Linked DNA regions of Cricetulus griseus. The protein of the gene in region 1 purifies or fractionates together with the protein of each later gene. This does not show direct contact. Links are inferred from orthologs where the notes say so. Each region holds a gene or a part of one and is shown in the gene's direction. Other genes may lie near its edges.

The links. Proteins that work in one complex are often made in the same cells at the same time.
Region 2: the proteins of Slc7a11 (region 1) and Cd44 purify together in Homo sapiens (affinity purification with western blotting; 3 studies listed by BioGRID and IntAct, with this or other methods). This does not show direct contact. The link is inferred for Cricetulus griseus from reciprocal best matches to the Homo sapiens genes SLC7A11 and CD44.

What each region holds. Positions count from the first base shown.
Region 1 is NW_023276806.1:100,999,549-101,003,204, forward strand, and holds part of Slc7a11 (cystine/glutamate transporter), read left to right. Parts: intron 1-1,878; coding exon 1,879-1,994; intron 1,995-3,656. UniProt on the Homo sapiens protein: Heterodimer with SLC3A2, that functions as an antiporter by mediating the exchange of extracellular anionic L-cystine and intracellular L-glutamate across the cellular plasma membrane.
Region 2 is NC_048599.1:74,823,128-74,826,783, forward strand, and holds part of Cd44 (CD44 antigen), read left to right. Parts: intron 1-551; coding exon 552-680; intron 681-2,124; coding exon 2,125-2,247; intron 2,248-3,656. UniProt on the Homo sapiens protein: Cell-surface receptor that plays a role in cell-cell interactions, cell adhesion and migration, helping them to sense and respond to changes in the tissue microenvironment.

The sequences.
Region 1 (3,656 bases):
CTGGCCTGTCAGGCTGTTGAGCTACCCAGACTGATGTCTTTCGACTTCACTCCATCTTCATCCATTCATTGGTTGTGTAACTTTATCTAATTACCAGTGTTTCTATGAGTGTGATCATTCCATTTGCAGTGGACAGATATGGTGCCCATTCATTAACTTATTCTTTCCACAAATTGTTGCAAATGGCAAATGCAAGATAAAGAGATCTAAATTGGAATGAACCACAATTCCTGCTCCTAAACAGCTGATAATCAGATGTTGCCTTAATTTAGGAAGAACTATTTTAGTGTGTGTGTGTGTGTGTGTGTGTGTGTGTGTGTGTGTGTGTGAGTGTGTGTGTGTAGCCAAATTACCTAAATAAATTCCAGAAACTTGTAAATACATTTGTATTCCTTTTTGTCATACTGGACTCACACTGTTGGAGTAGTCTTTCAAACACACAAAATAACATATGACATGAAAAAGGACATGATCCCCTAAGTACATAAATGTTTCTTTTCTATTAGTACTACTCATGACATCTAAATAGTAATAGATGCAGTCTCTAAGGTTAAAGGTGTACTTTCAAAATAAGTCTGTATTGCCAGAAATAACCTTCAAAATGAATTCAAACACAGTCACCCAACAGAACATGATGGGGGCTTCAAAGTTAAGTTCACTCATTCATAATATGTTCAATAACTATTGAATTTCTACTGTATGACAGATACTGTGCTAGCCAGTGCACTGGGATAAAATTCTGATTAGTGATAGACACAGTCTTGTTCTCATAGACTTCAAAGTCAAGTGGAAGTAGAGAGTTTCAATCTGGGAATCACCTTAAGAAGAATAAAAAAACTGCTGTGATAAGCAGTGTGGAAGGGACAAATGTGGTGCTGTGTAGGAAAACACTTGGACAGACTCAGGCAAAGGGTTGAAGACACTTCTCTGGACCAAGACTGAACCCAGATGCAAGGTATAAAAAGTAACTATTTGATGTTGCCCTACATGTGCCATTCATGGCAGAAGCAAAAGCAGCTATTTGAAAAAGCTCTGGGCAGAAGTGATTGAGATCTTGATCCTGAGAGAAAGGCAAAAGAATTAGGAGAAGCTTGGACCGGAGTGTCAAAGCATGGTTTAAGGGTACCGAAACCACACGACCAGACTTCATTTTACAAACCAAATGATAGAAAATGGCAAGAATATCCTCTTTGGAGAAAAGAGAAAGGGTTCTTTAGGAAGAGAAGAAAGTTACAATGTTTGTGGTGGTGACTGAAGGTAGGAGACCCAGGCTGGAGACAGGTGATGGTGGTTGGTTTCTGGTAATCCAGGGATGAGGCCTGGGTGTTAGGTAACCACAAGGAGGAAGAGAAGCTGTAAGAGACTCATGAGATGTTAAGCAATTCTGTGGGTTTCCTTGTGTGTGGCAACAATATGCACTCATATTGAAGATGAAATGAAACACTCTTTTTTTCCTTTGAAGAACTAAAGTGGGATGACTTATTGTCTGGGTTTTCTTCTCCTCAGGCTGGGATTTTTTGTCTTCTTATTTAGTGGTTCTCTCTATATAAATATTCTTAAGAAATTAAGAATATTCTTGTGGCTTAGAGATTTCTTTTTACTAGCAAATTAAGAGTCAACATTAAATATTTAGACACATTTTGGCAATGAACTCTTAGTAGTACTAATTTTCACAGAGATTTTTTTTTAAAAAATAGCCATTACTTATATAGACAATATTTCATTTGGAATGTATGGCAACTTAATGAAATATGAAGTTCTAAGACTTCCTTGTTAGTTAGGTTCCACCTGTCAGGTAGTAAGACCTAAAGATAAAAAGTTTTAGTGAAACTGTTACTTAGTGTTACCTGAAGTTAACCTTAATACATTATTTCTTAGCCCTGGAGCTACCGCTGTGATATCCCTGGCATTTGGACGATACATTCTGGAACCATTTTTTATTCAATGTGAAATTCCTGAACTTGCAATCAAGCTCGTAACAGCTGTGGGCATCAGTGAGTATTGTAGCTATAACAGAAAAGAAGAATGTAATGTAACAATGTGATTAGAGGCAAATTTTCTTTAGCATTTTTGGGGGGGGGACATAGTATTTCCCAAATTGTCTTCTCTGTGCTTATGGTTTCAAATCTGTGTAGGAAACTAGAGGCAAGAACAGAAGATTTGAAGTGGCCTCTTCTATTACAGTGTGTGCTAACTGTATACAGGGTTCACAAGTGTGGGGCCTGAGCTTTTAAAGTAGACAAAGACTCCTTCCTGGGTAAAATATTGAATGGATGGTGGATCAAAAGACAGTCTCACAGATGACGAATTCTGAGGAATTGCTTTTTAAACTAGAAATAACCCTATGCCAGTGATATGTGAAATTATTACTCACCAGTAGTCCTTGGGCTATGTTTATATGTTGGGTGTGCATATTGTGTTTGTATTGTTTATAGTGATATTGACTGTCACCCTCACTGTTATCATTTTTCTCTGCCTATTTTTGGTCATGATAAGAATTTTCTCTCAAGATTTGATAACCAGTAGCCTTTCTCAGCTGGAATATTTGTTTATGGGCTATAAATTAGGAAGTTGTTTATTTTTTTATTAATTGGCATAGACATTTGGAAATTGAAGAAACAGATAAAATGAAAAGAGGAACATATACAAGATTCCATAAGCAATTGTTGTTTGTTTTTTACTCTTTTCTCTTTGGGGGGCCCAACACCCAGTTTCTACATAAATCATACAAGCCTTACCTTGGCTTGTTTCTAGGCAACTTTTCTTAACTTAAACTATCCCAGTCTACCACCAGGCTTTTTCCTTTTCTTACTTCTGTGTATCTTTTTTTCTTTTACATTTGTTTTTTTTTTTTCATTTTTCATACCAACCACAGTTCCCCTCCCTCCCCTCCTCCTGCCCATGCCAACCTTCCCCTCAATCAACCCCCCACTCACTCCTTAGTAAGGGTGAGGCCTCCCATGGGAAGTCAACAAAGTATGGCATATCAAGTTTAGACAGGATCAAGCCCCTCCCTCCTGCATGGAGGCTGTGCAAGGTATCCCTCCCTAGGGAATGGGCTCCAAAAGTCAGTTCATACTTTAGGGATAAATCCTGGTCCTACCACCAGTGGCTCCACAGACAGCCCAAGTCACAGAACTGTCATCCATATTCAGAAGGCCTAGTTCAGTCCTATACAGATTCCCCAGGACCCTAAGAGAGACATGCAGGGATGCCCCTGGGAAGGGGAAATAGATAAGATCTTCTGAGTAAAATGGGAGGGGTGTGAAAACATGAGGGAATGAGATGGTTGAGTTTGAGGAGAGATAGAAAGAGCAAGGAAATAGAAATCCCCATAGAGGGAGCCATTATGGAGTTAGGGAGAGTTCTGTTGCTAGAGAAACTCCCAGGAATCCACAAGGAGGACCCCAGCTAAGACTCCTAGCAATAGTTGAGAGGGTGCCTGAACTGACCTTCTCTTGTGATCAAACTGATGACCACACTAACTGTCATCATAGCACCTTCGTCTAGAAACTGATGGAAGTAGATGTAGAGATCCACAGCTAAGCACTGGGCCAACCTCCTAGAGTCCAGCTGATGAGAGGGAAAAGGGATTATATGAGCAAAGGGTCAAGATCATGATGGGGAAACCCACAGAGACAGCTGACCTGAGCAAG
Region 2 (3,656 bases), on another chromosome or scaffold:
CTCTTTCTGGCAGAATATGTGAGGCTACAGACAATATTAAAACAAGAATACTTAGACTTCATAATATACAGGCTAAGGTCTCATCCTGACTTTGTGCTACTCTGGGTACATGACTTTCAACAAATGAAATTTCTTTTCCCATCTGGAAAATTAAAGGATTGGAAAATTAAAACTTTTATTTCTGGAATCTACCTTTCAGAATATAAGTAGCTTATCACCAACTATTATTGTCATTATCTACCTATCTATCTATCTATCTATCATCTATTATGAATGTATGTATGCATGTATGTATGTATTTATCTATCATCCATGTATCTATGTATGTATGTAGCATTTATCTATCATCTATATATCTATATGTGTATGTATATAGTATATATATATATATATATATATATGTGTGTGTGTGTGTATATGTGTGTGTGTGTGTATGTATGTACCTACTTACCTACCTACCTATCTATCTCTACCCTTAATGTAGACAGACATATCAGAGGGTTTGTTAAGAACCTAGACAATATGGCTCACCATCAGCATTCTCCTCACAGCCCAGGCAGCTCCTAGTAGTACAACAGAAGAAGCTGCTACTCAGCAAGAGCAGTGGTTTGAGAATGGATGGCAGGGGAAGTACTCCCCCACACCAACTGAAGACTCCCATGTGACAGCAGGGGCAACTGGTAATGGAGGGTTTCACAATGTGGGTGGAAACTACTTTCTGAGTTCAATACTGGGCATTGGAAAGTCGACACAAAAAAAGACACTGAAGGAATTGTCCAAGGTGTTTGGTTCCTTAATACATCACATTGAAGTAAACATAGATCCAGAGTGTTAATGTTCTTAACAAGCTACCTGGACAGCCATAGATAGACGCACATGAAAAAAATAGATTTAGTCTCTACGTGTGTGGTTTTCATATCTAGTTTGAGGCATCACCTAGTGAGACAATGACAAAGGCCCTCTCTAATGAAAACCCCGTTTCTGCTTCCTAAAACTCACTTACTATATAATACAAGTCTGTTTTTTCCTTATATTTTTGTAAAGCACTAAGCTTATAAGAAAGAATTTTATTAGAAATCTAGTGTTGTGGGTGGATTCAAGCATTAGAAGAAAAAGAAAGATCCCTGGGTGATGTCATCTGACCTTTTGTTCTTACCTGTTTTGAATATCTCCTCGAATGTACAACTGCTTAATCACATTTACAAATAAAGTCATCTTCTCCATTCTGGAACTGTGGGGTTGTGGGAATTAGATTTAAGTCTTATCATCTGTGAAGGATGCCAGATGATAACATGTCTCTGCAAGCCCCTCTGCATGATTCCTTTGTCTGTGTGATTAAGCGTTGTGATTCACCCTGCCCTGCAAAGTGTGTGAATTCTACATTATCACTTGGTATCAGTGGGAAATATCTCCATGTTTCCATCTGCAATGTGGAATCTGATACATAACCTCTTTGCAGTGCAGGGCAACTTGTAAATGAATCACTAGTAGTTTGGTGACTGGCTCCTTGGTGTGTTTGTTTCTGGGGAATGCTACTGTAATCTTTCTTCCTGTACTTCTCCAATGGCACAGAATGAAACAAAGGCATAATCCACGAGTACCTACATGCCATTTCTCATTGTTAGAAGGCAATGTTTCTGATGGACCCCCTCTGTGCTTTTGTGAGAAGTAGCACTTTCATGCTCATCCCTTGGGAAGCCTTTACCTGATGTCTTCTGTTTATCACTACCAGCTCATGCATTTCACTGTGGGAGGTGATTGTCTCAGAGTGACATCATGCACTTGAGCTCTTACAAGGCTTTCTTTAGGGGACTGTGGCAGCTTGTGTTGACAATTACTTCATCCTCCCTTGATGCCTGTAACTCATCTTCTATCCATTACAGCACTTGTTAATGCTATGCATCCTCCAACTTACATGCTGGTGACCAAGAAATTGAACACAAATGAAACCAAACGTGGGAAAACATTCTAAACTGATGCAGCTCCTTTGTCCTCACTACTAGAAAGTGATTTTCATTATCTTCTCTAGAGAATAAAGTCTTTTTTTAAAAAGCCAGTCTATATATCCCTGCCCAAATGTCAATTAACATTTTGATGATTGTTTGAACTGCATGGTGACAACAGCATCAACCCACAACCATCCAAGTCAAAGAATGACAACCCAGAGTCAAGAGAACGTCTCCTGGACTGAGTTCCTCGACCCAATTTCACATCCAATGGGACAAGATCATCAAACAGAAAGGAAGGGTAAACGGCATCTGAAACTTTTTAATATACCATGTTTCTTAGAATCAACTATGTGTCTTTTCCCTTTGAAATGTACTGTTGATTTTAGTTCAGTCTACTTTCCTAAGCATCCTGGTGCACTTTCAAAAATTAGTTTGCTGATACAAATCGGTATGAAATAGATATGCACATCATCTGTGTGCACAGTTCTGGTCAGCAAGTATAGAATTTGCCAGGAAGGTTAAGGACTAGTCAGTCTTAGGCTGACAAGAGTGGAAGTTACTTACACCTAGGAGACAGGTGGGTTGTTTCTTACTTTAAGATGGTCTCACTACATATCCCAAGCTGGTCATCAATTCTTGATGATGCTCCTGCCTCAGTCTCCTGAATGCTGCAATTGCATTTACTATCATGCCTGACTAAGAAAAGGATATTCTTAAGATTCCTTCCTTTTTAAGTACAAAGATTTCAAAAGAAACAATAAAAATGGATTCAGTGATGTGACTGTATCCATTATAGATTCAAAGATAAATTTTGGTTTTGGTATACAAATCTAACTTGTGAAAAAAAAAAGGTGAATAGCTAATGTAAACAAACAATGCAATGACTCTGTAAAGTTATTTATTGTTGCCTCATTTAGAGATAATGTGGTATTGAAATATTAGTGATTTAGACCATTCTGGGCCCTCCTTGAATGGCTATGAACTTAATGAATAGACAACTTATACATGAGACAAAAACTCCTATTTTGTTAATGCCTTTCATTCTTATTGAAACACAAGCAATTTAAAAAGAGAAAGCAAAAGGTATTAGTTGTAGTTTTGCAAGAAAGGAGGGTTGTGAATTATTTGACTAATTTGCACATTTAAAAGCAACTTTCCTGTTAAAAGTAACAGCAGCAACCTGCTTGAGAGAAACACCAAGAATTGGTGGCCATTGTCCTCTTAGGATTCAACAACTGGAAGACTGGGTTTCTATTATACTCATGAGCAGAATTACATTTTTTAAAACAAAATATCCTTATCACAAAAATGTAACATTCCAAAATAACCAAATACAGGGTTTTGTAAATTTTTTCAGAGAAGTTTCATTTAGATGTATTTTCTGGATATAAATTGTCAGCCATATGCTCTACACATATCTGACTGAAATACATTCTAAAAAGTAAATAATTAATCAATCAATAAATAAATAAACTCAGCAAAACACCTCCAGAATCATTATTAAGTGTCCAACCTGAAGAAGAGAGAAAGATTCGATTTCATAGGTAAATAATCAAGTAAAAGGTGTTAGATCTCATAGGCAGTCCAAATATCCAGAAAGGAGCTCAATCTAGACTATAGGAGGATTTCTAGTGGTTAGATAAAGGCCAGCATTCCTCAAGAACTTGTGGAACCAGTTCCCATCTGTCAAAAGGAATCAGTTCCCTT